Linked DNA regions of Lonchura striata. The protein of the gene in region 3 interacts with the protein of the main gene of each other region in a pairwise test. Links are inferred from orthologs where the notes say so. Each region holds a gene or a part of one and is shown on either strand. Other genes may lie near its edges.

Region 1 (7,084 bases), on a different chromosome or scaffold from region 3:
GGTTTGGTGCAAATGTACACCTGCAACACATAATAGGGCAAAACAGATTAGATGTACAAACACATACTCAGAAGCAAAAAAAGGCCACATCTCCTAGACAAAATGGCTTGGACTTGACACCAAACTTGGTGCTTGGGTTCAAAGGCAGTAGAGGAGCAGCCTCCGGCCTTTTGGTGTCTCTTTGCAAAACAGGAGTCACAGAACTTTGTTTTCTCAGAGGGTAGTTGTGAAGGAAAATGCATTTAAATCTGGAGTACCATTTATTGTGGCAACATGCCAAAACACAGATCTAAAAAGGGTGGGTGAACTTTTTGAAGACTCATCCAATTATTTAGGTATTTAGCAATTGGAATGAAGTAAGCCTTAAGAAAATCAAGTGTAAAGGAAAACAGTTGAAGGAATTTAATTTAAAAAGCAGTTCCTTCTAGACTGCACAAGTTTTACTGTGTTATTATTAGTTCTCCAGTATTTGACTAAATGCATGCTTGAGAAAAGTGCTCTTTTGTGACATACAGAAACTGGAATGAACTTTTAAAACTAAATATAATGTATTTTAGATCTTGTATCTTAGAAAGAACATGAATACTATTACTAGACATTGTATTTTCAAAAATAATTCTGCTGTTGGATGTCATCTGCTATAGAAGTCTAAAGAAGGCTATAGAAGTCCTTATCTAGTTTAAAAAAAAAAAAAAAGGAAGTTGATAAATCATGAAGGAAGGAAATACTGAGATTTAAAACAGCCACAAATTTGTTTTTCTTCAGCTTATCATTTTGAAAACTCAACTGCTGCAATTCTGGATGAGTTGCCAGATTGTTTCCTTCATAATTCTGCCTCTCTCTTATCCGTTCTTTAGGGATCAAAAACAAGCATATTAACTGCAGTCAGTGAACACACAAATCAAACAAACACATTGCCCTAACTTTGGGCTCTGATTAATTCCACTGGTAGCCTCTGACCTTGATTTCCACAATGTCTTGCAGTGCATAAAGAAGCCTGACCTGGTATCAGAAAACTGCAGAGATTTGGTTTGGAAAAAAAATAAAGCCATCCTCATTGCTATTCCCTAAGTCTACATTAAAATCTATAAAACAAAGGGCTGAAATCTGAAGTTTAGGCCTTGGAGCCAGTTTCACAATCTGTTTCCTGTAGCCAGAGTTCATTTGGAGCCAGTGGAAAAAACAGCTTCTAAAAGATAAAAGGCAGTGCTGTGACTTTCAATCAATCTTGGCATTCAGTGTGTGAATACAGCTGTACCAAAGTCTAAAACACCAAAGCTCCAGCTCTGAATCTGGTTCACTCTTCTGATCTTGGATGTATGTTGTCATTGTCAGAGGCACCCAACAACTCATGATGGGAAAAATAAGATCTAGCCAACTTCTGGAGATCAAAATATAGATAGAAATAAAGCAAACAGATGTGACATGCCCATTCATGGGAAAATGGGAGACCATAATGAGTGACAACAGAATGGGATGGGAAGCTGAACTGGTAGCTAATGTAAAAAACAGAAGAAACAAACAAAAAAAATCCCTTCAACAACATAAAAAGCACTGGAAGAACGATTTTCTTTGAACCCATCAGTTATGGTGGGTGGAGGCCTCAAGTGCTTAGAGAAGTCAAGACTCATATTTATTACAGGTAGTGCTGATTTCAGCAGATGCATTGTTCACGAGGGTGCCAAAGGCCTGGAGGAAGCAGCTGCATGAAGCAGTCCAGGCCTGTCCACCCTCCTGAACAATGGCAATGCAGCCTCCTTGCAGAAAGGATTTTATGGGAAAAAAAAAGACCAGTCTTCCTTCAAAGGTACAGGTAAATGCACGTTTTAAAGAAACTGTTCCAGAAGAAAAAGTGATGGCGGATAAAGAAATCAGATTCTGTACAAAGAAGAAAGCTGAAGATGAATGGTGTTGGTGAACCTGCCCAGGCTCTGTTCCTAGACTCAGAAGTGGTTTCTGTGTCTTTCTGTGGCATAAGAGAATCTCATTCTGCATTTAACTTCAGTTTTGACATCCGAATTTTAGAGTGGGAAATGTGTACATGAGAAGTTAAAAATAATTATGCAAGCCCCTATGTAGGCCCAATGTCCTGTTTCTAATTTACTCCCAAGTATTCTTTTGCCTTTCTGTACACTCAAAATTTTAGTGCTTCAATGTGACAGCTGCAAACAGTTCTGCACTTGTTTTCTTCTCCTCTTCACTGCCAAGAGGTGAACTGGATCAAGGAACTGACTTAGCTGAAAATATAAATTTATCAACAGCAGCTTTTTTCTTTTTTTTTTGCCTCTGCAGGAAAAGCAAGGCAAGCAGCAATACCAGCCTCTTTAGTGGCAAATTACACTTAATCACAGAACGGCTGAGTTTGGCAGGGACTTCTGGAGATCCTCTGGTCCAAACCCCCCCCTCCTCAAGCAGGACCACCCGGAGACAGCTACCCAGGTTGCCCCGTGTCCAGGCAGCTTTTGAGCATCCCCAAGGATAGCAAGTCCACAACCTCCCTGGGCAACCCGTGCCAGCGCTTGGTCACCCCCACAGTAAAAAACGTGCTTCCTGATGTTCAGAGGGAAGCTCCTGTGTTTCAGTTTGAGTCCTTCGCCTCTGATACCGGCACTGAGCACCACCGAGAACATCCTGGCTCCATCCTCACTGCACCTTCCTTCTAGGCACAAATAAATGTCCGGATATATGCGCGGCCAAGATTCCCCCCGAGCCTTCTCTTCTCCAGGTTCATCAGATCCTGCACAACTGGGATTTAAAAAAATCCCCTGGGATTAATCTGGATAAAAACACCGCTGAACTGTGGCTCAATGTGAATATTACGGGGATTTCCCCGCCCCTCCCATCTCTCCTCCATCCCAAGTGTGACGGGATGCGTTTCGCTAGCACCGACGGTCCTTCCGCTCCCGCTGACGCGCTCGCTTAGGACACATCCCAGGACTGCTTCACCCCCGGCTGCCGCCAGCCATCGGCGCTCCATAGCCTGCTGCGATAGACCGCAGAACCCCCCAGGCCCGCACCAAACAGGACGGCGGGAATACCGTGCGTGCATCCCAGCGAGCGAGCCACCTCCGGCGGGATCCCGGCCGCGCGCCGCGCTGCCTGCCGGGACACGTGGTCTTCCCGCGCGAGGGCCACAGGACGGCCCTTTGGCCGGACTACATATCCCAGCAGCCCCCTGGAACGGCCGCTCCCCGCCGCAATTGGGCCCCCCGGCCGCGACGCTGAAAGGCGATTGGCTGAGCGGCGTGTCCGTCATGCGGGTTCCCCGTGCTGGGCGGGGCTCTCTCCCCCAACCCCGAGCGAGGGGACTGCCGGGGGTCGGTGGCGGCCCCGGCGGGGCGGGCTGAGGGGCCGCCCCGAGAGAGGCAGGGCTGGGGCCGCCCCTTCCCTCCATGCCCGGGGCAGGGAGGAGGAGCCGCCGGCGCCGTGGGGTGGTGGCCGCCCCTCTCCCGGTCGGGAAAGGCGAAGCCCCAGCGGCTCCGCTGGCTCGGCAGCCCCGGCGCGGGAGGGCGGCGGCGGCTGTCGGGGGCACCGGCCCGCGCTGCCCCCCATGCGGCGCGGGCAGCGGGCTCTGCGCTCGCCGCGGCCGCGCTCGTCGTCGTCTGTGTGGGCGGGCTGGCGGCTGCCGGGAGCCCGCCATGGGGCGGCCGCGCCGGGGCTGCTGAGCGGGAGGAGGCGGCGGCTGCGGCGGGGGAGCAGCGGCCGAGCGGCCCCATGGAGGAGCGGGAGGGCGAGGTGCGCTGGGACGGGCTGTGCAGCCGGGACGCCGCCGCCCGCGGTGCCGCCCTGGACACCATCGGGCAAGCCGTGCTCCGCCGCGCAGAGAGCATCGCCTCCGGGGCGGCCGCCCGCGACGGGCTGGGCGAGGCGCTGGCCCGCCTGCTCATGCTGTCCAAGAGGTGCCCCTTCCCCGACGTGAGGGAGAAGAGCGAGGCGATCCTCGGCGGGGTGCAGGTGAGCGCGGCTGACCACCCCTTCGGCTTTGGGACCGGGCGGGGGCTCTCCCGGCCCCGTCCCGCGCAGGGCGCCTTCGGGTTACACCTGTGCGACGAGGGGGGCGGCTGATCCACCCTGTCAGGTTTATTCCTGCAATTAATACTTGCTAAGTGCTCCCCACCCCTACGGCTCTCTCCCCAGAGAAACATTTGGAAAAGCGTTGTTGAAAGGCGGCGGGGGGAGGGGGTGGAATATCTTACTGAAGACACTTGAAAAACACTTGGATGCGTTCCTGTGTCACCTGCTCTAGGTGACCCTGCCTTGGCAGTGAGGTTGGACTGGATGATCTCCAGAGGTCCCTTCCAACCCTAACTATTCTGTGAAAAAGCACGAAGTCTTTCAGTGGAATCCACCAGAGAGGACTTGGCAATGAATGGCTGGAAAGTTGGGGCATCCCCAAGGAAGCACTAAAATGACAACTTTAACACTCTAGTTTCAGTCTGTATAAGTGCTGTGGTATTACCCGGTTAACTTTAAACGAAAAGCAGGAAGGATTTGGGTACTGATATTAGTGTTGCCAATTGAAAATATAAATGGGAAGTTTTGGAGCTTTTAAAAGCCATATGAGCTTGTTGTTAAGGCAGAGCCCATCAGAATGCCCTTCTTGTTGTTTATTGGTAAATAGTTTCTCCACTGGCATCAATATGATCCAAATTATTTTTTTTTCATAGCTCATATGCAGCCTAGCCAATAGAGGAATACATTTACTGACCTAATGCTAACAAAAATAAATGTTACTTTGTACTCTTCCACTCTTACAGTCTAATTATAGTTACTTGCATTGCGATTGTCTTGCTCACCTCTGGTTTTTGCTCAGGTCTTGGAGTTCTTGTATCAACGGGTCCAACAGCACTGGCTAAAGATATTACTTTTAACTGAAGAATAGGAAAAGGAAATTCAGCTATTTCTTTTAATCACAAATGAATAGAGAGCTGTGCATGGAGATAGCTGCCTGATTGTCACTACTGTGCTTTTTCTGCCTGAACTTTAACAGGTTGAATATAGGGGAATCCAGGGAAACATAATAACAATATATGAAAGTACTATAGGTATAATAATTTATACATTATATGCATAAATATGTATAATATAAAACCCATTATATGTTATCATATATATAGAAACACATTCTGGGTTTGAGTTATTGGAGCTGAAAGAGTCTCTGTTTATTTTGTCTAACTTCTCAGTACTGTGCAGTGTGATTAATACAGTGTAACTTATTTTACCCAGTTTAGGCTGTGTGTGCAGTTTTTCTCAAAGCTGATGGTTTCATGTGGTCTAAGTGGAAAGCTTGACAGCTTTTCTTTAAAAACCAAAGCCAGTGAAACAAACAACCACCCCAAACTTGAATACTGAGTTGAAAACTTTAATCTGGCATTTTCCCTGTTAACTGTTCATATGAGAAGTGAGTCTGTTACCAGTGAGAATGATGAGTTACTGCAACAGACTGCTAAGGGAAGACTTGTTTTTGTCAGGTTCAAGATATCAGAATCTATTCCAAAAACAAACAGATGGTGATCTCTCGCCTAAATTTTGGGGTGAGGTCAGAATACAGGACTGGATGACTCCCTTTTAAGTTTTTATGCATTTGAAGTTAGTGGCATGTTCAACTATTAGTGTGGTTTAGAAACTTTGTGACTAGTTTTTTTTTTTTATAACTAGGGCAAAAAGTTCTGGCAGAAAATGTCCATCTTCATACAGCAAATGCAAGTTCAAATGCCGTGATCCTTGCTGCTTTGATTAATAAACCATAGGTTTGAAAGGTTTAATAGCTGTGAAACCAATTGTATACACACAAGGTGCAGTAAAAGTTTTCCAGCAAGTTAAGCAAAATAAAATAAAATAGAATATTATTTTAAGAAAATTTTTAAAAGCTGCTTTTGTAAATTTTCCTTTTCAGAAGCATAGATCTGAGAGGAGTATTCTGTATTTCATGAATTTAAGAGTGGCAAATCTTAGTTCTTGTGTCTGTACTCATAAGTGAAAATTTTCATTGTAATCTTTGGATCCACATTTGTTGGAGAAATAATCCAGTGCAAGTGTTCTGTTTTGGGTGCTAAGGACTATTGTCAGGCATGAAATGGTTTTCGGTTGATTAATGACCAAGAATAATATTGTTCAAATCCCTGCAGTGAAGATGGCAGATAGAGCAAACTATTAAATTAAATATTATCACCACACAGAACTTTCAGCAGTGCTTCCAAAGGTTAGTAACATAAAAATGTGCAATCCCATTCAGAATAGCATCAACACTTGTGTTACGTTATCTCCCTGTTTTGGAATCTGAAGTCCACACCAATATGTACAATTATGCTGTCTAAAGTTATTAAATGATATAGAGCCTAGGGCAGGAGGGGCAACTTCAAACCCAGAAGTTCTCCTGTGAACTGGGGCTCCCCTCATTCTCTCTCTTCTGGAATGGTCCATCCTAGACTAGAACTCTGAGACTGTACTCATATATTTCTTTTTATTCCTGCCCACCCCAGCTGCCTCAATATGGAGAACTGCAAAATGTACTTTATTTATCTTTCAGATTTGCTTCCAGCATAAATCAGTGATGAAATCAAATATTAGATTTTTCCCTGTGGTCTGATTGCTATTTCTTCCTTTGAGTTAGTGCCCTCTTGCCTGTTGGGGCCGTCAGCAAATATTTAGGCATGAGTGACTGGTGCTCCTGGTGGTTTTGCAGCTTTGTGTCTGGAGCAGGTTGGTAGAGTGCATTATATGGCTGGTGTAGGCTGCAGGCTTGGCAGCAGCCTGTGTCAGCATGGCATCCCTCTAAGTCTGCCTTTGTTATGTTTTGGGGTTTTTTCCCCCGGATAAAAATTCCTGTGATATATGGTGGAATGCTAAGTGTGCAGCTTTCTTATTTGCTATTAATAAATAGCATTAATAATGATATTATTAATAAATAATATTGCTTGTATTACAATCTATAGAATTAATTATAAATTCCTGTTGATTTGAATTATGTTTGGGATAATGAGTTTTCTCATTGTAGGCTATATGTCTATATATGAATAATAACATATACTTTTTTTACCTGAGAGAATACATGTGTTTTCCCATTTAGAATAAATGACTTTTT
Region 2 (7,508 bases), on a different chromosome or scaffold from region 3:
GCCAGGGTCCTCCCACACAATCTTATCAGGCTTTTTATCAGCTGCTATTAATATAATACCAACAGAGGCACACAGCACACAGACTGTTCTCCTCTAATCTAAAAGAACCATTCAGAACTTTTCCTCTGAAAAAGCTGCAGAGAGTTTATCTTGATTTCTTACCATGAGAAATCAATTTAAAAGGTTAGAGGCTTTAGTTGTTTTATTTTTCAGTTGATTGTTATACACTTCCAGTTCCAACACTGGTGCCAACACAATTATAGTCATTATTTAGCTGCCCAAATTGCTGTCTTGCCAAATAATTTGAAGATGTCCAGGATTTTAAGAACACTGTTTTGTAACTGCACATTAACTATGGTGATTCCATGCTGTAGCACATGTAAGTCTGAATGATGTTGAAATGTTAATTAAAGAACTCTCAGCAGAGGAAGATATTCTCAGAAAATAATCAGTTTTTTGACCACTAGGAAGCATTCAACTTCCAAAACATTTGGAAATTTTAGCTGTCCTGGTCTTACCTTTAGCCCAGCTGCTACATGAGGGGGTGTGTCCACAATCTGTCTCTCATCAGAGGAGCTGCCTCGTTTCAGGTCAATCACTGGAGCAAGAACTGTGGTTTGTTTTGTCCTCTGACTCTGCAAAAATCAACAAAACACACAATGTCTAAAAAAGATAAAGCAGTTTTCTAAAAATTGGCTTACTTGATAGACTTTGCTGTGGCAGGTGGATGGTCCTAAGTTTTCACTGGGACCAGAAACACACATGGAAAATTCATCCAATCACTTCAGGTGAGTTTGAACTGAGTTAGTTTCTAAGAAACTCAGATTTATTCCAAAGATCTACTGTTCTTCCCATCTATCATCAGATAAAATATTTTAAACTCTTCTGAACTGAGTTTTCTAATCCTATCTTATTCTTCTGTTAGGCTATGGATACACTGCACATCGGGTACATGGAAAAAGAATATAACTAATACAGCAGTCAGTAAATTTCTTCCATGAAGTTTGTTCCCATTATCAACTAAATCCTGCTTCCAATTTCTGCAGCATAAATAACGAGTAATTACAGTGAAAAAAATGCTGTGGCTACTCAAGTATCTGGCATCAGTGCTACTGCTTCTTCCTTTAATTAAGTAACCTCACTACAGAACCTACAGTGCCTCAAAGAGCACCTGTGTCCTGCCTGAATCAAAATATCAACACTGCTGAAAGAATAAGGGTGAAATGAAAAGAAGAAGCAATAAAAAGAGAAAATGGCTCTGTCACAGTCTAACAAAAATCAGCTTGCACTCCTCCTTTTCACCTACTCTGGAAATACTTGGTGTAAAATTTCTAATACATAATGATTTGCAGGTTAGCACCAAGATGCTTTTCAATAACAACCATAAAATGATGTAAACATGTAAATAATCACAGTGTGACCCCTACTTACATTAAAAAAATTTTTATAAAGCTGAATCTCATTATCTTTAAAGCTAAACTTGAAGATCAGCTTTTGGCTCTGCTGTTAAAAGTTCAGAGGTTTGCAGCACATACATCAGTGCTTCCTTCAGTTTTAATTTTGCAACACCCCCTCTAAGAGACATCAAGAAATACACGTTTTTCCTTTTTCCCCTTCAGCTTTGTCAGGCTCTCTGCTACAAACTCACAGACAAATGTCAGCAAATTCTGAGGTCACAAACACAATGCACTGAACACGAAAAACAGAAAGAAAAATCACAAAGGGACTATACCTTTGCTTGTGTGAGAGCTGCTTTCTTCACCTGCAACTGCGACTGCAGCAGTTTGAAATTCTTGGACCAGCCTTCTGTTTTAGAATCGCTGGTCTCAACCCCCAAGTCATCGTAAAGTGACATTTTCTCTTCAATTTAAAACTGAAAGACAAAATAAAAGAAAAAAAAAACTCTAGATGACACTACAAGCCAAATTCCAGGTTATTTGCTAACAGTTTCATACATGGGTACACCACCTTTTATTTCACTTTTCCTAAAGCCAGAGAAAATGCACTTCTTTCTGGTGAGTAGTAAATACACATAACTAGAGCAATGCTGTACAAAAGTAACAATTTGAAAAGTGATGAAAACTGTTCAAGAATTAATTCAATCCTGCAGTGGAATATGAACAATTAGGGCTCAACAGCAAGAAGTTTACTGCAAAAAGAAAAAGGAGGTTTTGAAGACTATTAAACATCTGGCCTCGGGATGAAACACAGCAGGGGTTATAAAGGCACAGATGCACAGGATGAGGACAGGGTGTTGTAGCAATTTCCACCTGCCACAGAGCAGTGGGATTTTGGCAGCTGGGGAGTGAGGAGACAGCATGATTCTGGGGAATCACAGAATCAGTCAATGTGGAAAAAAAAATCTCTGAAATCATCCAACCTGTGACTGAAGATCAGCTTGTCACCCAGACCAGAGCACTCAGTGCCGCATCTATTTTTCCCTTGGACACCTCCAGGGATGGGGACTTCAGCACCTCCCTGGGCAGTTTATTCCAACACTTAAGTACCTTTTCTGACAAGAAATTCTTCCTAATATCCAGCCTGAACCCCGCCTGGCGCAGCTTGATGCCATTTCCTATTGTCCTGCCGCTTGTTACGTGCGAGCAAAGCCCGACCCCCACCCGGCTGTCCCCCCTATCAGGGAGTTGTGGAGAGCGAGAAATTCCCCCCTGAGCCTCCTTTTCTCCAGGCTGAGCCCCCCCAGCCATTCCTGCTCAGACCCTGGACAGCTGGCTGGACGCAGGGCTGGCGCTGTCACCGCGGGGAAGGGACGAGGCAGCGAGTCACAGGAGCTGTCCCCACAGTAAAAGGAAAGGTGGGCAGCGATCTGGGAACAGCGGGGGCGAAGCAGGCCCTGACACCCCCCCCCCACACACACACACTCCGCACAGGCCGGGAGCCCCCTGGGAAGCCGCTGAGCGTGGCACACCCGCCCTACCCTGCCTTCCCCTGCCTGCCCACACCCAGCAGGGCTCAGAGCCGCCTCCCCACACGGCCGGGCCCGGAGCCGCCCTCACCCGTCCCGGCGCCGCCGCCGCCGCCGCCGCCATCAGCCGGCGCTGAGCCCGCCGGGAAGGGCCGCGCCTGCGCACTGCGCCCCGCGCCGCCGCCGCGCCGGCGCCCCCCGGCGGCGGGAGGAGGGAGCGGCAGCGCCCCTCGGCCGGCGGGACGGAAACGTGAGGGGATTTCGAGATTTTAGAGCAGCGAAGGTTTTAGTCAGAGGTGTGAAAAACTTGCCAATCACCTGGGTTTTAAAATGTTAAAAAGTTTAATGCTGATAAAATGGTTATAAAAATAATCATGCAATTAGAGTAATAAAGTTTAGAGTTAGGGCAATTACAAGGCAATAAAAAGCACTCGGACACTCTTGGACACTAAATCACAAAAAGCATCCCTTGTGAATAAAGGAATAACATTAAACCTATACACTTGTTGCATATTCATACATCCTTCATGGTTATGCATACATTCTATTTAAAACAAGAACTCTCTTGTATATCAACTGTTCCTTTAATCCGCATGGTGTCTTCAAATCTGTGCAAGGCCTGAATAAATTAGTTTCTTCTGATAAGAAGCCATAAATTCCTCTCCTTTGGAAGATTTAGGTGCTCCTTGAAGCGAGTATCTCATTCCTAAAAAACCTTCCCCCACGTACATAGTCTCTATTTTAACATTATGTTGGAACCTAAAACTATATTTTGCACACTACTGAAGAGAATTAATACAGCATAACTTCCTAACATTACACATATAATATTTATTGTAATATTTGAAAAAGCCAATCATAAATATGCGTTTTTCACAGAGATAAGCCTTACTAGAGTTAATTAAAATAAATGAGTAGGCCTTGATTAGGAGTTAGTAGTTAACTAATAATTGATTGTTTGTCAGCACAATGTTTAGTTAGCTGGGTTTATAATGAAGAATATAGAAACTGAAAATAGCTTTTAGGAACATAAGACTATTGTGGGGCTCCTCTGTTCTGAAACCAATTGAAGGCAAGGAATGCGAGTTCTACCAAGAGTTCATTTGTCATATTTGCATTGAAAAGATAGAAAGGTCAGAAGGAGGAAAAAACTTCATTTACTTCCTCATTTTGGGACCCCTCCCCATGGAAGGGACACCGACCCATTTCAAGGAACAAACCACGCATGCTTAACAGCTTTTGGAGTGATTAGCATATGAAAAGAGGAATAGGATATACCAAAATGATGAATATGGATTTTTATTTTGGGTATTCAATACTTGTATGGATAAAAAGACTCTGTAATCACTTGGAAGCTGCGGTGTGGATTTGGGAGCTATCCCAGTGTAGAATAAACACACACTTTCTAACTTTAAGCTGTTTGAGAGTTTTTGTCCATCACAGCTGGATATTGGTACTAGATCAATATCCATATTTTTTTAATAAATCAGTGGGAGGGTGGCACGGCACATCCCAAGGGGCTGGATTTACCCCCAACACTGTTTGCTCTGGATGTTCTGTTACAATTTTCCATACCGTGTTTCTAACTCCTTAAGTAATCTGTGGTAGTTTATACAGTGAGTAACCAGTCTCCATGGCTGTTCAGTATTTCTAGTTACCTACCAAGGGCATCTGAGATTTTGGGCAGGAAAATGGAGACAATTACATGAAATTCTTCATGAAGACTCTGGCAGCACTGAGAAAGTTACGAGAACAGAGGACTTATTCTTCATCAATTTCAAACAATTCTGTCTGTTATTCCAGCATGTTTGCTGTCATTTTGCTGTGCCATCACTGTCACTGAGGTCACTGGGTAATTGCAAATATTGCAAAATATTTGGCTATTAGAAGGTCTTGCTGCATTATGTCATTTGGGCCTGAAGTGGACTTGTTTGGTCTGCCAAAACAATCTTTGTTTTCTAAAAACCTTAAAATTCTGCATCTGTCTGAACCTGGAATTTACCCAACCATACCAATTTCCCAGCCCAATATCCTGCACTAATTATTTAATATCTTCTCTTTGACAGAGGCAAAAAAGGATTTTCTTTTTTACTTACGCTGCACTGGTGTGTCTCCAGCTCATACCAAGCATGTGAAATAGATGAGCTGAGTTTTCTAAGAATTATGGCCACTTGCACCACATGATGAGCAAATGAACATGCAAGACTGTCTGCAAAGCCAAACGCCAGCCCTGAAGCAAATAGACCTGGCACCTCAACCTCAAAATATTACAAGCACTATCTCTGTATTAATCAGAAAGTCTTTATCTCCAGCATTGCTTCTGACTGTGCTACTGTGCAGTTTATTTCCCTGTGGTTAGCTGAAAAAATAAATAAAATAAAGCTACTACTTCCTCTCCTACTTATGCTGCTTTCTATTAACGCAGTACTTCTAAATACATTTACATATATGTCTATTTTCATCATGACAGTGAAAGTTCCTTAAATATAAAAAGAAATTGTCTTCACTTTATTTATAGAGGATCTCCCAAGCATCTTCCTGAGGTTTTTGCGTTAGCAATGCCTGCATTTTTTAAAGGAAGGATTGATATAATTCACACATCTGTAACCTTGTGGAAGAAAAATAAAATCAGCAAGGGACTACTTTTACAGCCTAAGAGTCCCACTGAGAAAAGAACCATGTATCCTATGTTAAAGGAAGGAATCAAATAATTAATTGCATCAAAAGGTACAGAAAAAAATCCCTGTGGATTGAGATGTCAGAGCAATATCACAGCATGACAGACACTGGGAGAAACTCAAAGGAGATTAGAGTCTGCAGAGGTGGAAAACACGAGAGCAACGGGAGATTTTGGTTCCTCCTCAGAACAAGTCATAACAGGGAGGGTAAAGGCTGAATTATCAGACCTGTAAATAACTACCTATTAAAGCCATAAATCAGATAACTCACAAGGAGAGAAGCAGCTCTTGGTTAAGCCTGGAAACTGCAGTAGGCATGGATCAAAACTGATCCATCACTGTGATAATAGCCACAGTGTATTTGTACACGCCCACTTAGAAGCAGAAGAGCCAAGAAAATCCTTCTCATTAAATTTGGGGAGATAAAGAAACCTCACCCTGCTGCCAAGGTCCCAGACAGACTGGAAATGGAGGAGAAATATGTGAGCTCATCCCCAGCATTGCAGATCTTGCAGGTGGGTTAATTGTGGCTGAAATCTCCTTTTCATCTGCAAAGGTGGGGGAGCACTGGCCAGCTCTCTGCCTCCTACAGACCCTCATAAATGTTGAAGCGTGATCTTCCAGCTACTTTATTTTCCCATTCGTATTTCAAACCTTTCTATGCTGGTGCTTTTCTTCTTGAATCTCACTTGTGATTGCTGAGTCACCAGTTCTACCTGCCTTTCTAATCTCATGTCGCTCTGTCTTTATGTTTTCTTGTAGCCCTTTTCTCCCAGCTTCACAATTTTCTCATTGTTTTGAGATGAGTTTGATGCAGCTGGGTCTCCTGAACTAGGAGAGGAGAGAGGAGAGGAGAGGAGAGGAGAGGAGAGGAGAGGAGAGGAGAGGAGAGGAGAGGAGAGGAGAGGAGAGGAGAGGAGAGGAGAGGAGAGGAGAGGAGAGGAGAGGAGAGGAGAGGAGAGGAGAGGAATTATAGGGAGATCCAAAAAGCTGTGAATAAACTGATTTTCCCACTGTGAGAAGAGCCACCAGCCTTGGTTGGAACTGCTCATTGTACCAACAGCCCACCTGGAAAAGGTGTACAGCCAAGGTGGTGAAATCTGCTGCAAATCCCAATTTTTTTCAGAGTAATCAGCCAAAAGCTGTAAGCAAGAAGTTGCAGAAGGATAGCGTGGCACTGGCTCAGTGATGAGATAGCAGATGGGGCCCACTGTTAATGAATGCAAAGCAATGCACACAAGACAAAATAGCACTAACAAAACACACACAGCAGCAGCTCTAAATCAGCTGCTTCCATTAAGGAAAGAGATGCTGCATTCATTGTGGACCATTTTCCTGAAATGCCTATTTAGTGAAGGAAGGAAGCAGGAAAGCAAACAGGCTGCTGGGAAGCATTAAAATCTTAAAAAAGGAGAACGTATCCTCATAAATCCAACACGCACATGAACGTTTGAGTGGCCACCTGCACTCCTGGGTATCTCATCCTCTCCAAGAAGCAGCAGTGCAGTAAAAAATAAAGAAATCAGATGTGCTGGGTGAAAACAGGCAGCTGAAGGGGACCTTGGAAGCATCAAGCACCCAAAATGGCCCAGAAAAGGTAAATAGGGAGTTCTCATTTTTCTCCCTGATGGTGATCTTTAAGAATGTGTAAAATAAAGCAGTGCTGGGATGGGGAAAAAGCAGCCATTAAATGTCTCATTTATGTCTCATTTCCCTAAAGCATTGATAGCAGTTTTTGGTGGATGTGGATGATTTGTTTTATGTTGCAGATCTCCTCTGAGGGTGAGGGGTGCTAATATGCCGAAATGGCATTAGAGGGCAGTGCATGGCAACCTAACTGGAGTTTTCTGGGGTGGCTGTGAGAAACCACCCTTCAGAACCTCTGAGGATGGGGACAACAGAGC
Region 3 (7,558 bases):
ACAAGTCTCTTTTCCCAAAATTTAACTTACTCTGAGCTGACAAGTACTAACTGAAAACAGTCTCCAGGACAACAGTGACACTTCAGCCACAACACAAGTTTTCTGAGGCACACCCAGCACCCCAAAGCTGGCAGTGTGTCTTCACATCACTCGAATTCTGCTGCTACAGAACCTACACAACACAGTCCCGCTGGTGGCACTCTGTGTGTCAGACATACTATCACACAAAAGGAAAAAAAAGGGAAAAAGGATACAAAGGCAATTCAGAGGGAATTCCATTCCACCTTGCAGGTTTCACTTTATCTGTCAGGTACTCCATGTGATTACTATAGTTATATTTATTGCTGGATACCCATGGATATGCATTTAATATAACAATTAACTACTTTATGACAACTACATTGAAATAATGGCAGGGAAATGAGCTACCAAAACGATGCAAGTGAAAATGAAAAGCAGAGCTTTGGTACAACAAAACTGGAAGAATATTCTCAGCTACAAAATTTGACTTCTCTGAGTTTTATCACAGTTTGGGCCTTATTTTAAACAAACTAACTGTCTGAAAGTAAGTGGTTTTAAAATGCTGTTCACGTATGCACCTTTCTCTTGCTCCTTGGCATACTTCCTGCCCTTTCCTCTTCAGGATCTTGGGAATGTGAAGAGGCTGAAGCCTGTACATGCCTGGCTTTGAAGTATCTGACTTCCTGCCTAAGCATATTTACACCCCTGCTACTTGCCAGACTGTACATCACCTGTGCCAGCTTCATCGCCTGTCATAAAATGGGTGGCTGGAATAACCAGCCAGTGCAGCTGTTTGCCTGGAGATGAGCAGAAACATGCCCTTCAGAAACCAAGCTCCAGAAAACAAAGCAATGACACTAAGAGCAGAAGAAATACAGAATAAGGAATCACTACCTCTTCCTACTGCAGTCTTCCTCAGCTGTTACAAATTAGTTTATTGCCTCACCCCAAATTCCTGTTTTCCTCCAAGCTCAGCTGTCTCAAGAAAGACTTTTTGACAAGGCTCACTTTTTGACGTGTTAACTTTGACACTAACCAGAAGGAAACAAGCACTTAACAAGCAATGGTAAGAAAGAGCTCCATGTTAATAAAAACAGCAACAAAACTGAAGCAACTGACAATGGATATGTGAGGACAAGGCTCCATCCTGGGAGATGGAGCTCAGTGTGAACAGAACCCAGACATGCAGGAGGGAGAGCGAGTCACTGCGAGGGACACAAGCACTGCCTCACCTTCCTCTTGTCCAATGAGGGTATGGCTACCCCATTGGAGCGGTTAAGGTCTGACACCAGCACCTTCAGAATGTTCTGAATCTACAGGAAGCGAAAGAAAAGGGGAAAGAGAAATGGCTCAGAGAAGGACAGAGAGAAAACATCAATCCAAGGCAGCCAAGGAACCATCCTCATCCAGCTCGTGGGAACCACACGCCTCAGCCCAGCAGCTCCGGGCACACCCAGGGCACCACTGGACAGCCTCCAATGCCAGCTGCACCTTCCAGAGCAGGCACCTCATACAGCACCTACACCACTCAGCTCTTACCCCAGCACAACCACTTCCAGCTCCGGTCAGACTGTCCAGAAAACTGAAGAAGAGGGAGGTGGCAAATGATTTCGCAGAAAGAGACACTCACATTCTCTGGAGGCTGCTGGTCATCAGTGGTGGGAGTGGCAGGTCTGCTGCCTTCTTTAGTTTTGCGTTTTTTCTTAGTTCCTGCAGTGGCTCCAGGGCTGTTCTTCTGCTGATATTCCTTCAGCTGTGAACAGAAGAAGACAAATCTGAAGTCCAAACAATATATGCCTTCTATAACCTCAAAGACCCCTCAAAACTAACTTCACTGGTAAAAATACAGATCAAGTGTAAGGACAAGGGGAATGCTCTTCCATTAATTTATCGATATGGGATAAAAACGGGAATCAAAATAAGCCCAGAGAAGGCTAAAGTTAAGACCAAAGTGATGGGTTTATGACAAGAGTTGTAAACATTCAACTTTTGTTTACAGCCAATGCTGTTCCTGGGAAATTGTTTCACACTCTACAGTACAACTAAAAGGAGATTGAAAGCACTGGTTTGCGGGATTTCAAGGTTATAAGTAAGAGCAATGAGGCAAAAGTAATAAAGGGCAATTAATCCTACATGCAAAGTGAGAAAGCACTGCCTGATAGTAGTATTTTCCACTCCACGGAAGATTTTATGAAGGACAGTTGCAATCCCCACAGCAGACACTGCAACAACTGCAAGCTAAGGGGAGAAACAATCTACAAATGATTTTTAATCGCATCCACTTCGCCCAGGAAGTGCCGGTCTGATAAGATGTAACTCGAATCCCTCCAGGTCTGCCGGCATTTCTGTGCAATTCCTGCACGCCCGAGCCCCAGAGCCGGCAGCTGTTTATGCAAACAACGGCACCCCCGGCCCGCACACCCCGGGCAGGCACGGCGGGGCAGCGGGGCACGGAGAAGGACGGAGGAGGATCCCATTATTGGTAGGATTTCAAAATGGAAGCCTGAACTGCTCCAGGACACTTTCCCGTTTCCGTGACTTTGACACAGAAGCGCATCCCGCCGGGACGCAGGCAGCCGGGCCGCCCCGAGGGAAAAAATACGGGGAAAAAGGAAGGCGGGGGGGACAACGACACCCGCACAGCAGCCCGGGGAACCCTGGCAGCACCGCAGCCACCCAGGCCCGGCCTCGCCCCGGCCGCCCGCCGAGAAGGCCGGGCCGCAGCCCCGGAGAGCCGCAGCCTCCCGGGCCCGAAGCGAGGGGGCGGCCCGGCCCGGCCCGCGGGGAGGCCGCGCTCGGCTCGGCCCGGCCCGGCCCGCGCGGGGCCCGCGGAGCGCAGCCGCCCCCGCTCCGTCACGTCGTGCCCCGTCCCGCCCGGACCGCCGGCCCCTCACCTTCTTCTTGGCCGCGGCCAACCGGCTCTGCCTGCTGCCGTCCGCCATGTCCGCCCCGCGCCCCGGCCACGTCAGCCCGCCAGCAGCGGCGGCGGCTCCGCCCCCGGCCGGCCCCGCTCCGCCCCGGGACACCCCGGGGTGACACGCGGGGCAGCCCGGCCCCGCCGGGACAGCCCGGCCCCGGGACACCGCGGGACACCGCGGGACACCGCGCTCCCCGTGTGACACCGGGCTCTGCCCCGCTGCTGTAGCGACCCGGCAGCCCAGCGCAAATGCCGGGAGGGGCAGCCCGGCTCCCCTCGCTGTCCCGCCCTTGGTGTCCGAGGCTGATCCCGCGCGCAGGGCAGGCGGCAGGGTCGTTCTGTGTGATCCCAAATCCTTTGACCTTCCAAGCGCGGCAGCAGCTGAGGCTCGGGCAGCTCCGGCTCTGGGACACGGCGCTGACAGGGACACGCTCCCTGCGGCAGGACGGGGCCTCCAGCGCTGTCCGAGCCTCTGTGCGGGACTCGGGGGGAGCTGAGGGGCCCGGTGGGACACAGGGACAAGCGGGGGAGTGGGCAGTGCTCACCTTGCGAAAACAACATCGCAGCGGTGGCTACGGGCAAACACTGGACATGGCACCCAGGGCCGTGTCTGGTTGGCATGATGGTGTTCCATCACATGAGTGATTTTTCGAACTCGAGGTCTTTTCGAACCAGATTGATTCAATGATTCTCGAAATCTCCTGAGCCCCCGTCCCAGCTGAGGCACGGTGCTGAGATGTCTCTGAAGGACCAAATGTCACCACCTCGCCTGCGGCCCTCGGGGGACAATTGTGTCCTGCCACACCCAATGTCACCTGCAGCCCCACCACGGTCGGGCCCGGCAGGGGACTACAACTCCCGGCGTTCTCTGTGGCGAGGGGACTACAACTCCCGGCGTTCTCTGTGGCGAGGGGACTACAACTCCCGGCGTTCTCTGTGGCGGGGGGACTACAACTCCCGGCGTTCTCTGTGGCGAGGGGACTCCCCCTCTCCGGTGTGGCGGGAGCTCCGAGCCTGCAGCGGGAGCCCTCAGCCCTGGCCGAGCGGGTCCCGCCGGCCGCGGGCCGCAGCCCGCCCCGCCGCCCGCCGCCGCGGGCCCTTCCCAGGAGGTAGGAGCCGTTCCCCGCTGCCCCCCCTCCCGGGCCGCGTCCCCGCCGCGGCGGGTGCCGGTACCGGCCCCTGACGCGGCGCCCTCTGCTTTGCCAGGGCCGGCGGCCGGCGGGGCGGCACGGCCGGATTCAGGGCACCGGTGAGTCCTGCGCGGGCTGCCCCGGGGAACGAGTCCCCTCGTTGGCGGGGCTCGGCCCTGCCCGGTGGGGAGGGCTTTCCCTTGAGGGTTCCCCGGGTTAGCGCCAGCACTGCAGTTTGCACTGTGTCGTGCTGGGAGTTTCTCCTAAAAGGCACATTGTGATTTTAATTCTTTTGTTTTAATATTTTTTTAATATATTTTATTTGAATTATTTATTTTCACTTTACAGTGTAGCTCTCGAAAGTGTGGTTAGATGTGGTATGGAGCACACTAGTGTTATGTACACTAATGCACATTTTATTTGAACCCCCCTCCCCGCCCACCCTGGGGATATTTTTTTCCTTTTCTCCTGTTTTATCAAGTGACATGTACGCTATTTTCACATTAGTGCTGCAGCATTGTAACATCTTACCCAGAGCTGAGTTCCTGCTACGTGTCTTCTGTGTTCTACAGATCCCATCTCCAAAGTCCTTCCAGCTTAATGGAGCCAGCGAAGAAGCCCTGCAGTGTGAAATCAAAGAGCTGAAACAGAAAAACCTTGCTCTAGACCAGGAAATTGCACAATTATTGTCAGAGTACGTCCTTGGCAAGCTCAGTGTTTACTTGATGCCTTAATTATTTTTGTTTTTAAAATAGAATGTGATCCAGGAATTGGAGCTGAGAGCTGACCTTCTGTGATGCTGTTGTTGGTATGGTGCAATGTTGGTTACAGTGTTGTAAGTGATGGGACTTGTTAGAGACAAGAGGGAATTCTTTCCACTTTGTGTGGTAAAGCAAAACAAGTTTTACTGGGAGCTTGCATAAGAGGATTTTTGTTTTAGCCTGGGTGTTCCTGAGGTAATTATGTGTTTACTGGGAACAGATAATTTTAGCCACTTGTTATTTGTTGTGTTAGACTTATATTTTCTAAGGTAAATGTGGTGCATAGGATGGAAATGGTAGAACAACAAAGGCTGTTCCAGAACTCTTTTTTATTTATCCTCAAGGGTAAACAAACCTAGCAACAGAACAAGAGGAAATGGCCTCAGGCTATGCCAGGGGAACTCCAGGTTGGACATCAGGAGGAATTTCTTTGCTGAAAGGGTGATTAAACATTGGGCTGGGCTGGCAGGGAGGTGATGGAGTCACAATCCCTGGAGGTATTCAAGAGATGACTGGATATGGCACGAAGTGTTCTGGTTTAGTCAGTATGGTGGTGCTTAGCCAAAGGTTGGACTTGATGCTCTTGAGGGTCTTTTCCATCCTAAATGATTCTACGATTCTTAATTTTTTCCCTATATACAGATTAGAGATACGTATCAAAGGAATTCACCACAGCCTACTCTTGTTTCTACTTGATTCTGAGAACTTGGGTGCATTGGCTTTCTTGAGCTTGTGTAGATCTTCATGTTTAGGACTTGCAGGAACTGCACTCTGTTGTGTTGAGTCTGCTTTTGAGGTTCCAGGCTTGGTGTCCCCCACAGCAGCAGGAAATCCCAGTCCCCCTGTGTCATTTCTGACCTTCCTGGTGTTATTTTACAGGGGCTACAGCCTGGAGGAACTGGACAAGCACATCTCTCTGCTCCATGAATACAATGAAATCAAAGATGCTGGGCAAATGCTCCTGGGCAAGCTAGGTAAGAAAGGGAAAGCTGTTCAAGACCTTTTTAGTCAGTGTTTTCATACAGAAAGAAGCTGCTACTATGGAAGCAAAGCTTGTGTTACAATTCTTCACTTTTAAAAAAGTGTTTGGGTATGCAGGAGGCATAGCTGCAAAACCTTGGGTTTCTTGGCTATAGGATGTGCTATGGGATAATTAGGGAAAGAAAACACCACGTTTCTGACTCCCATGATCTTTGTTTAATGAAAGCAATGCTGTTTTTTTATTTCCTAGCTGTTATCCGAGGGGTCACTACAAAACAGCTCTATCCTGAGTATGACCTGGAACTCAGTGACTAGTCCTGAACCTGGAAGCTGCCATGTCATGCAAAAGTGACTGTCACTGTGCCATTACACATTGGTGTCATCCTGGTTTAGGAGAGACAGAAAGGAACCTTTGGAAAAGGGATGTAGGATTTTAGATAATTTCATGTACTACTTGATCAACAGGTTTTTTTTTTAAGGTTGTAGTTCAGGTTGATGTTGAGCCTCTTCCATGGACCCTTTGATTCCCTACAGTATCCAGGGGCTGTTTGTTTACTGAATGGATAGAGGAAGTGAGGGCATACAAATGTGCAATGTAATAGCTGCTTTGAAAGTAAAACCCTCAGAAGAAAGGAGGGAAGAAGGCAGAAATTGTGGTGGTTTGGGGGTTTCTTTTGTTTTATCAACAAATCCAGAGAAGTCTGGGTGTTCTGCATTTTTGTACTTACCTGCTCTGGTATCTGGAGGTTTTGTATCATTTCTGTAGTAAATGGCAAAATGTAAAGTTGTGTTGACTGTTCACTCTGAATAAAGCAGCCTTCACATTTGTCAGTAAATCACTTTAAGAGCCTATAAAACAGTGCATGAACCTGGGAAAAAATTCTAAAACTATATTGAGACATGAACTATTCAAATGTTTTCTCCAGGAATGTGCAGGTGCAGAATCACTTTGCTCTAACTGCAGAGTCATGGTGGGAGTGAGTGCTGTGCTGGACATTGCATGATGATGTTGGGAGCACGAGTGTTTCAATGTCACTGATAGGGCTGAGGGTGACTGCACAGACTAAATTTGGCTGCTTTGGGCACTTGGAAGTGATGAAGTGCTCTGCTGACTGCAGATCTATTGTCCCTTTTTCACTCAGACTTGATGTCCTTCTGCCCATTTTTACTTACAAAGACCTTCCAGCCAGTAAGTTTCCCCTGTGGTCTCCAGTTAGGCCCATGCTGCAGTCTGCTTGTTCCTTCCAAATTTGAATCAAATTAATCTATCTTCATTGTGATTGGAAGCCTGAAACCAGTCACAAGGCTGCTGCTGAGAACAGATAATTGGTTTTACACTCCTGGCTCTGGATGTGGCACAGATACATCACTAATAGTGTCTTGTTTTGCCTTAAAATCTGTGGGGAGTGGCCTCAAGCAGGGGGACGGAAAGAGCCTGTATATTCCATGATTCATCTAAGTAAGTTTCTGTTGATGTGCAGCTGTGCAGAATATTTCCTGTGCCCAGACCAGAGTGGATACTCAGAGGACACGTTCACACCCCTCCCCAACACATACCCCTCTGCCAAGTGTGGAACACTCATGTGTTTTGGAGTAGTTTTAAGGGGAGGAAAAAAGGCACAAGGTGGCAAGAACTAGGAAATGCAAACTCTGTTACTAAAGTTGCTGTTTTGGCTGGTATTTCCTGTCTGTGTACAAGGACTAGCTCAGCGTTTGGAGTGTTCCAACCAAAATGTTCCTCTGTCAGT

Evidence for each region. The genes of interacting proteins can lie anywhere in the genome.
Region 1: the proteins of GOLGA2 (region 3) and CEP57L1 interact in binary tests that used the Homo sapiens proteins (3 or more experiments, as listed by UniProt). The two-hybrid records come from large-scale screens. The link is inferred for Lonchura striata from reciprocal best matches to the Homo sapiens genes GOLGA2 and CEP57L1.
Region 2: the proteins of GOLGA2 (region 3) and RBM17 interact in binary tests that used the Homo sapiens proteins (3 or more experiments, as listed by UniProt). The two-hybrid records come from large-scale screens. The link is inferred for Lonchura striata from reciprocal best matches to the Homo sapiens genes GOLGA2 and RBM17.

Annotation. Positions count from the first base shown.
Region 1 is NC_134605.1:69,473,677-69,480,760, forward strand, and holds the start of CEP57L1 (centrosomal protein CEP57L1), read right to left. Parts: upstream 3,088-7,084; 5' UTR 3,018-3,087; intron 1-3,017. Other genes in the region: SESN1 (sestrin-1), read left to right, coding at 3,715-3,954. UniProt on the Homo sapiens protein: Centrosomal protein which may be required for microtubule attachment to centrosomes.
Region 2 is NC_134607.1:69,612,575-69,620,082, forward strand, and holds the start of RBM17 (splicing factor 45), read right to left. Parts: upstream 3,088-7,508; 5' UTR 3,018-3,087; intron 1,874-3,017; 5' UTR 1,856-1,873; coding exon 1,733-1,855; intron 636-1,732; coding exon 519-635; intron 1-518. UniProt on the Homo sapiens protein: Splice factor that binds to the single-stranded 3'AG at the exon/intron border and promotes its utilization in the second catalytic step. Involved in the regulation of alternative splicing and the utilization of cryptic splice sites.
Region 3 is NC_134624.1:593,182-600,739, forward strand, and holds the start of GOLGA2 (golgin subfamily A member 2), read right to left. Parts: upstream 3,023-7,558; 5' UTR 2,964-3,022; coding exon 2,916-2,963; intron 1,775-2,915; coding exon 1,652-1,774; intron 1,335-1,651; coding exon 1,254-1,334; intron 1-1,253. Other genes in the region: DNA repair protein SWI5 homolog, read left to right, coding at 4,476-4,762, 5,709-5,803, 6,061-6,125. UniProt on the Homo sapiens protein: Peripheral membrane component of the cis-Golgi stack that acts as a membrane skeleton that maintains the structure of the Golgi apparatus, and as a vesicle thether that facilitates vesicle fusion to the Golgi membrane.